2 linked regions of the Rattus norvegicus genome follow. The protein of the gene in region 1 purifies or fractionates together with the protein of each later gene. This does not show direct contact. Links are inferred from orthologs where the notes say so. Each region holds a gene or a part of one and is shown in the gene's direction. Other genes may lie near its edges. The genes, in order: Cdan1 and Asf1b.

What was found.
Region 2: the proteins of Cdan1 (region 1) and Asf1b purify together in Homo sapiens (co-immunoprecipitation; 5 studies listed by BioGRID and IntAct, counting the BioPlex papers as one, with this or other methods). This does not show direct contact. The link is inferred for Rattus norvegicus from reciprocal best matches to the Homo sapiens genes CDAN1 and ASF1B.

What each region holds. Positions count from the first base shown.
Region 1 is NC_086021.1:128,140,441-128,145,041, reverse strand, and holds the start of Cdan1 (codanin-1), read left to right. Parts: upstream 1-1,521; 5' UTR 1,522-1,566; coding exon 1,567-1,656; exon of another isoform or gene 1,657-1,871; coding exon 1,872-2,356; exon of another isoform or gene 2,357-2,546; coding exon 2,547-2,753; exon of another isoform or gene 2,754-2,950; coding exon 2,951-3,120; exon of another isoform or gene 3,121-3,248; coding exon 3,249-3,362; exon of another isoform or gene 3,363-3,441; coding exon 3,442-3,520; exon of another isoform or gene 3,521-4,394; coding exon 4,395-4,515; exon of another isoform or gene 4,516-4,601. UniProt on the Homo sapiens protein: May act as a negative regulator of ASF1 in chromatin assembly.
Region 2 is NC_086037.1:41,097,324-41,101,597, reverse strand, and holds the start of Asf1b (histone chaperone ASF1B), read left to right. Parts: upstream 1-1,245; 5' UTR 1,246-1,409; coding exon 1,410-1,518; intron 1,519-2,381; exon of another isoform or gene 2,382-2,514; intron 2,515-4,274. UniProt on the Homo sapiens protein: Histone chaperone that facilitates histone deposition and histone exchange and removal during nucleosome assembly and disassembly. Cooperates with chromatin assembly factor 1 (CAF-1) to promote replication-dependent chromatin assembly.

The sequences.
Region 1 (4,601 bases):
CACTGGCATAGAGTATTGAAAAACATGCAGTGCTTTTGTATAGGCCATCTGTACATAAAAGTGTAATTATTTATTTAATTTTCCCATTTGTACCATATTAAAGCTTTGTACAGTGTTTTAAGTTCTGTTTTAAAATTATTTTGTATTTTATTTTTATAATCTAGTAATAAAACATTCAGTCCGCATGCAAACTTCAGTGCTATTTGTGTCATGGTTTGGATTTCAAAAAGTGAAAAATATTTCCTAAACTACTAAAGTGTTAGATTCACCACACCAGAAGTGACTAGTAAACAACCAAGAGAAGGACATTTGGGCTAACTGAATAGAAGCTAGGTGAAAACCAGGGTTTAGGGGTCTGAAGGTGTTGTGTTCAACCTGGCTTTGAACCTGATATTCTGTCTTTGCCAAGTACTGGAATTGCAAGCATCCACTAAACCCAGCACAGAATTAAGTTTTTAAAACTTCCTTTTCTTCTCTTCAGCAAACATCCCTGATATACTAGAGGGATTCCTGCTGCATCTACTGCTTATCGCCAAGTGCTCTTCCTTGGAATGAGAGGAACACAGGGCATATTAATACAGTGCTGCTTCCCTTTGACGGAAACTGTTCAATGAGATCCCCTATCTTGAGTTTTTTTAACCAAGGAGCAACATCGGAAAGCCTCTTGTATTTTTCAAAATAAGGGACCTACAGGAGGTGTATCGGGCACGAGTGTATGTGTGTGTGCCTGTGTGTGTTTGTGTGTGTAGGATGGGGGGGGGGAGTGTGTCCAGAAATGCCTTACTCTTCCAGAAGCTAATTATGAATATTGACCTCTTAAATATGAGGTTGAAATACCCGATATAAACTCCTTAATGCGTAAAGGACTAAATACAAGTCCTTAGAACAATTCCTAAGGACCCTCAATGGTTTATGATCTGATAAGTTTTATAAGATGCCTCAGCAGGAACTCTGTCCTCAATTGTCAATTGGAAAGATTGGCCAATGGTAAAAAGTCAGCCTTTGAGTAAAGGGGGAAAAAAGCTAAGCAGGCCGGGCGTACCCCCTTTAATCCCAGCATTCGGGAGCAAAGGCAAGCTAATCTATTAGTTCTAAGCCAGCCTGGTCTACAGAGTGACCAAGCTATCCAGAGAAACCATGTCTCGAAAAACAAAAAGGTCAGAACAGAAGGTTACTCACTTTATTTTGGTTGAGGAGGGAGTGACTCAAAAAGCTCTACAGTCGGTGGTCTGAGGCTGTGTTTATGGCAGATGTCTGGTCTGATAGGCTGGTGTCTTTTAGAGTTGGTTACTTTTCCTGTCTGGCCTCTCTTTCGGAGCCGGGTCTCCACAGAGCTCGCCGCAGTTCCATCTCATCACATTGCTCCAGCGGCCAAGCAGTCAGGGAAAGGCGCCTCGGCGCCCTGCAGGCCTAGCTGGTTGGACAGATCTTCCCGGACCGCCTGAGCCCCACCCCACAAGGACCCGCCCCGTCGTCCAACGGTCGCCCCGGCCGCTGGCTCCGCCCCTCCCGGCTGCCTGTGGCGCGTGTGCGCCTGCGCAGTAGCCTCAGAGCGCCTGGACAGGGATGGCGGCCGTTTTAGAGTCGCTGCTGCGCGAAGAGGTGCCGGTCGCAGCCGCCGTGCGGTGGATCGCGCGCAGCACCCCGAGTTCGGAGGTAACAGTGCGGACACGCCCTCAAACCTGCCTGGAATGTGCTTCCCGCGGGGGATGCTGCTTCAGTCCCTTCTCCCAGCCTGCCCTGGCTGTCGGCCCGCGCCAAGGGCGCTTCTCTGCCAGCCGCTGCCGGGCCGCCCACCCTGCGGCCTGAGCCGCTGGAGGCCCGCGCTGTCAGCTGACCCTCTCGCCCCGCGACCTCTGCTTCTTCCTCAGGATAGCTCCGAAGTGGCTGCTCTGAGCGCACTTCGGCCTCTGCGGAAGGAATTCGTGCCGTTCCTGCTGAACTTCCTGAGGGAGCAGAGCAGCCGGGTCCTCCCACAGGGCCCCTCCACCCCCGCCAAGACCCCAGGCGCCTCGGCCGCCTTGCCAGCGAGGCAGGGGGCCCCGCCACGGGGTGGCCGTGGGGCGCGCAGCCAGCTTTTCCCTGCAACCGAGCCCCTCAGCACCTCCGCCGAGGCACCTCTGGCCCGCCGTGCGGGCCGCAGGCGGGGTCCGGGACCGTCCCGCGAACGAGGTGGTCGGGGATCCGGGGGCCCCGAGGAGGGGGCCAGCAGCGAGAGCCCGCCTTGGGCCGGAGGCCGGAAGCCTAAGGGCTCAGGCAGCCCTGGCAGCCCCAGACTGTCGCTCTCAGATCCGCCAAACCTCAGCAACTTGGAGGAGTTCCCTCCTGTAGGCACCGTTCCGCCCGGCTCTGCAGGGTGAGGATCGGTCCTTATTGCAAGATAATCGCTAAAGCAGAGCTGGGTGCCCCACAGTAGAATGCGCGATGGTTAGAAGGTTGAGGGCGAAGAAACCACAAAGGGGGGAGGGTTTTAAGGGACCCCAACTGTTATGGATGATACTTGAAGATAGAAATTTGAAAAAAAAAAAAAAACTGACTACTCTCAGCAGGACGAAGCCTTCTCGAAGGATCAACCCAACTCCGGTGAGCGAAGAGCGGTCACTGTCCAAGCCCAAGACCTGCTTCACCTCACCCCCAATCAGCTGTGTCCCCAGTTCCCAACCCTCAGCCCTGGACACTAGCCCTTGGGGCCTTGGCCTTCCCCCAGGGTGCAGAAGTCTGCAAGAGGAGCGGGAGATGCTCAGGAAGGCGCGGTATGGCTTTGCCGCCACCTGGGATATCAGCTTCCTCCTTGTGCGGGACTTGCGGGGATTTTTCCCGAACTTGATTTCTCCCTTCCGGATTCTGGGTTTGCTTTCTGGGCTATTGATGTCTTCTCTGGCAGAACCTGAAAGTGAATGTCACTGGAAAGCCAGGCTGAGTAATCATGACATCTCTCTTGTTCACATAGATCCAAGCAGCTCCAGCAGTCACCTACCCCGGCCTGCCCTGCCCCAGACTCGGGGTCTCCCGTTCCCAACAGAACAGGAAACCTCACAGCAGAGCCTGCTGACCCAGCCAGAGTGTCTTCTCGACAGCGCCTCGAGCTGGTAGCCCTCATCTACTCCTCATGTATTGCTGGTGAGTGAGCTCAAAGGGACAGCGGTGGATATGCATGCAAACTACAGAGTAAGAGGGGATGAAGCATACAGAGCCTTGGCCTGGTTGTCAGTAGTGCGCAATGGTATGGCATTTCTCGTTATATCCAGAGAACCTAGTACCAAACCTTTTCCTGGAGCTTTTCTTCGTCCTTCAGCTCCTTACTGCCCGGAGAATGGCGGCCACCAAGGACAGTGACCTTGAATCGAGTCAGGGTGCCCTAGGTCAGTAAGCAAGTCTAATTTCAAGAAATGATGTTTGCAGGTGGGTTAGTTCTTAACTAACCGTTTGTTATTGGCCTAGATTCCCTGGAAACTCCCCTGTTTCGGAGCATCCATGATTGTGTCTTCTTTGCAGTGCAGGTTTTGGAGCATCAATTTCAGTGAGTTTTTCTAGCTGAGGCATTTGGGTCTTATCTGTCTGTTTCTAGCCATGTAGGATGCATGACTTTGCTTAATAGATACAGTTGCCCTAGACCTTTCCACCTGGCACCTTTTGTTGAGGGGAAGGAGATTGTTGTTGTTTTTTTTTTTAGTCAGGGTGATACTATGTAGCCCTTGCTGGCCTTGAACTCCCTATGTAGAACAAGATGGGCTCAAACCTGCATAGATTAGCCAGCCTGTCTATCCAAAGTTCTGGAAATAAAAGCATGCGCTAACATTCCTGGCCCATCTGAAACATTTAATTTTGTATCAAGGCTATGAGTTTATCCTTTAAAAAAATTAAATGACTGGGTCTGGTGCTAAGCAAGGATTGCAAGTTTAAAGACCTGCCCGGGCTGCAGAAAATTCAAAGCCAGCCTTTGAAACATATTGAATGGTATTCCCAAATAATAAATACAAAAAGGCCTAAGTATATAGACCACTGGAGTGCTTGCTGGCCATATAGAGAGCCCCGTGTACTACAATAACAACAATACGTGACAGCTTACCTTTATTTTTTTTTTCTTTTCTTTTTTTCGGAGCTGGGGACCGAACCCAGGGCCTTGCGCTTCCTAGGCAAGCACTGTACCACTGAGCTAAATCCCCAACCCGACAGCTTACCTTTATAAAGTTCATAGCTGATGTTCCTAGCCTGCTTTCTTGCTCTCAGCTCCATGAAGTCTCATGTCTTCACCCTTTACTTTTATCATCTTGATTCTTAGCCCCTGACCTTGCCATACGTATCTAGGCTTACACAGTGCCTTATGCTTCAGATGGATTTTGTGTCTGCAGCCAGCGTGCTCATCTCAGTCATGTGCACACCTGTCCCTGCAGGGTTCTCTCCTACCTGGATAAAGGGACCTTAAAGCTGCTGGCCGAGAATGAGCGGCTGCTGTGCTTCTCACCAGCTCTGCAAGGCCGCCTTCGAGCTGCTTATGAAGGCAGTGTTGCCAAGGTAGTTACCCTTGCTTAGGTACCTAGTAGCCTAGATGTTCTGCAAATTAAGACAATTTTCCTGGTGCTGGCAAGTGGGCTAACTCT
Region 2 (4,274 bases), on another chromosome or scaffold:
GAGATTAATGGCATGCATCTACCTCTTCTTTTTGTTTTTAATCTTTAAAAAATGTGATGGGGGGGCAGCTGGAGAGATGGCTCAGTGGTTAAGAGCACCCGACTGCTCTTCCAGAGGTCATGAGTTCAATTCCCAGCAACCACATGGTGGCTCACAACCATCTGTAAAGAGATCCGATTCCCTCTTCTGGTGTATCTGAAGACAGCTACAGTGTACTCATATATAATAAATGAAAAAGAAAAAGAAAAAAAAAAAAAAAAAAAAAAAGAGCACTGACTGCTCTTCCAGAGGTCCTGAATTCAATTCCCAGCAACCACATGGTGGCTCACAACCATCTGTAAGGGGGATCTGATGCCCTCTTCTGGTGTGTCTGAAGACACCTGCAGTGTACTTATAAAATAACTAGTAAATAAATGTGATTGGAGACAGGGTGTCTCTGTGTAGCCCTGGCTGTCCTAGAAGGGGCCTCAAAGGCCTACCTGCCTCTGCTTTCTGTGTGCTGGGATAAAAGGCCTGTGCCACCAAGCCCAGACACACACACACACACACACACCACCACCACCACCACCATCATCATCATCATCATCATCATCGTCATCGCTGCGCCATTTTGTCTCGGGGTGATCCAAAGGTTCTCAACGGTCTTTTACAAAGGCAGGAACCCCTCAGGGTAGTCCCCGAAAACGCTCACCTGCTGACAGCCGCCTAAAGGCCTAAGTCACTTTTTCCTCCTTAATGCTTTTCACTGTGAGGGCGTGCGATTTCCACAGCGCTCCAGCCCAGCTTTCCTCATGCCCACCACATTAGCCAATCACATCTCAGAAACCCACTATGCCCCGCCCTCTATCGACAGTCAATCACTGGGAGTGCAAGTACCGTCCCCCTCTGCGCGTTTTAGTGAGAGTCGCGCGCCACCGTTCGGCCGTTGGTGGCGCTGCTCTCTGTGAGGTGCGTCTACCGGAAAAGCGGAACGAGGGGAGGGTCATGCTGGTGCGGTAACCCTTGGGATTGGACAAGAGAAGTTCCGCGCTCTAACTCCGCCCACCCGTACAAGCTATTCGAGTCGGAGACTCTAGGGATTGGTTCCCGATAGACCTTTACGAAGCTAAGAGATTATCGTTCCGCCTCCTGTAGACCGTGAAGAGGGAGCGTCTCTGATTGGTCTGTTGGTCCAGGCGCGCGCCGGAAGACGCCCCAGGATTGGCTGACGGCTCGCGCCGTCATAGATCCTTAGCGGCGATTGGCTGGAGGGCGGAGCCGGCTATTTGAAGGGAGCGCGCTTACGGGAGAAGCTCTTCGGAAAGAAGAGTTGGGAATCAGTGCGAGCTTTCTGTCCTGCCGACCCCCTTCTTCTCTGTAGCAAGTCACGGAAGAAGGCTCCACAGTACCTGCGGCTCCCAGGCGAGGTGATGGCCAAGGTGTCGGTGCTGAATGTGGCTGTGCTGGAGAACCCGAGCCCTTTCCACAGCCCCTTCCGGTTTGAGATCAGCTTCGAATGCAGTGAGGCCCTGTCTGACGGTGAGACTGGGCCTGTGCAGGGGACCCCGAACCCTCCTGCCCTCGTTTGTGCCACTCCCAGTCTCCCTGGGAACCTCTCCCCTGGGCCAACTGAATCTCCCATTAGTAATACGCCTCCATGGCCCAACTCGGACCCCTCGGTGGATACGACTCTATACAGTCCGCATTGTCTCGTGGAGGCCTCGTCACCCCTCGTCTTGCACCGCTTGTCCTTGCACGTTTTCCTTGTAGAGGTGTCAGCCTCCATTGGGTTCATGGAGACCCATCAGCCAAGCCTTCCCTATGGCTAGACCCCGGTTTTATGCCTTCCCCATAGGAAACCTATCTATCCTATGGGAACCCAACCTCCAGTACCGTCCCCTCATTTTCCTTGTGCATACCTTTTCCTGCAAACTAACCAGACCCTCCTCTTTTGTTACCCTGTCTGCCCATGACAAGACCTCCTCCATCCCATGACTCCCAGCAACACCCCAGACAACTCCAGATTTGTCCCCAGTAACTCCTGTTTGCCAACTGTAACGGCATGGTGTTGTCTATACCAGGGCTTCTTTCTTTAGGTTAGTCCCAAATCCTATGTATGAGCGTCCCCAGAGGAGAGATAGGGGCTTCTGACTCCAGTCTTTGTAGGTTTGGTCTCCCCAGCTCCTGGTCTGGGTGAATGTACTCAGGTGAGGGTGCCACAGCCAGGCAGCCCTCTTCCAGTTTCTGATATTTCTACTGGCTTCCAGCTAACTCAGTGCAAGGAATCCCTCATCCCTTCTGATGGGCTGATCTCATCTGGGGAGTGGGTGGACTGGCCAAACAGGGATGGGATGGAACTTTCATCAGCTGGGAGGACACTGGCTTTTGTGGATCTTTCACAGAATGACTTAATTCATCTGTGGGACATAAAGGTGGACATGGCTCTCATCTCATAGATAAGAGGACAAGAGCCATCAAGAGCAAAAGACCTTTCAAATAAATCTGTGAACATGTAAAATGTGAGGTCACTTTGAGGTAAGTCCAGCTTTCAGGTAAGCCAGTAGAAATCTCAGAAACTGGAAGAGGGCTGCCTGGCTGTGGCACCCTCACCTGAGTACATTCACCCAGACCAGGAGCTGGGGAGACCAAACCTACAAAGACTGGAGTCAGAAGCCCCTATCTCTCCTCTGGGGACGCTCATACATAGGACAACAGGAGACCATTTTGAGTGCTGAAAAGGATGTAGCAGCTGAGGAGGTAGAGCTCTGAGAGGCTAGGTTGTGGCAACCAGTGCCCCTTGGTGGCTGTTGAGTGGTATTCAGGCAGGGCCAGCCACTCCTGTTCACTTGGATGTGTGTGCTTGGAGTGGGCCAGCGGCTTGGCCTCTCCCTAGTTTCTTACCCTTTTTTAAGTTTAAACGAATCTACTTATGACTCACTATAGAATAAGCTGGGTTAAACCCTTGCTGGAACAAGGCAGGGTGTAAATAAATAAATAAAAGGTAGAGTAACGATGTGGAATAAGAGTTATTTGGAAGCCAAGAGGAGATATAAGGAGCTGATAGATTAAAGGATTCACAGTTCCCAGATGCTGAGAGATCAGGTTTCAATCAGCCTGTCTGTGCTCCTTGCATTTAAAAATGGTTGCATGGTCATTGCCTAGTGATACTTTTATTCTTTATTTATAGAATCAGAACAAGGCTAGAGTTAGCCTGCTGGTCATGTTTTAATGGGAGCAGGGTGATTTTTTCCAAGTCAGCCAGATAGTAGAAGCATTATCATTGAAGTTTGTCTCAGAGTTCTGAGTCCAGATTGTTTTTAAATTTTATCTTTTAGTTTTAATTTGTCTGTGGGTGTGGGCCAGAGAAACTTCAAGTGGTCTTTCTCAATTGCTTTCCACCTTATTTTATTTATTTTTGTGTGTGTATGTTTTGCCTACATGTATTTATGCCACCACTTGAGTGCCTGATACCCACATAGTTCAAAAGAAGGAGTTGGGTGTCCTAGAACTGGAGTTACAGGCTTGTGAGTTTCCATGTAGGTGTTAGGAATCTTACCTGGCCTCTAGGAGAGCAGCCAATGCTCTTAACCCATGGGCTGTCTCTATCTTGTCCTGCCTATTTTAGAAAGTGTCTCTATAAAATCTGGAGCTCCAATATTGCTAGTTGACCTGTCTAGTAAGCCAGGGATCCACCATTTTATCCTCCTAAGTAATGATGTTTTCTCCTTTTGTTTTTTGAAACAAGGTTTCTATATAGTTCTGCTGGCCTAGAGCTTACTCTGTAGACAAGGCTGGCCTTGAAGTCAAAGATCTGTTTGTCTCTGCCTTCCCAGTGCTGGGATTAAAAAGGTGTGCACCACCACATGTGCGTTCCTTCTCTTTTAATTTTTGTGTCTATGTTGGAGGTGGCATATGCATGGGAGCCTCTGGAAGGCAGAGACATCTGATCCTCTTTAGCTGGTTTGAGACTCCTGACATGGGTGTTGGGAATCAAACCTGGGTCTTTAAGATCAATACTAGATTCTAACCCTGAACTTCTCTCCAGCACCCTGAATTTAGGTTTTCATGGGAAACACTATCTGCCCAGACCTCTAGCCAGCTCCCAGATTCCTTTGCTTTCCTTCAGTCCTAAAAAAGGAAGAAAACATTTACTTGTATATCTTTTTTGTTTGCTCATGTGTATTTTGTCAGCATGCATGTACATGTACCACATGTGCACCCAGTGCCTGCAGAAGAAGGCGTCAGATGACCTGAACTGGAATTAGAGACCATTGTGAACCACTATGTGGGTGCCG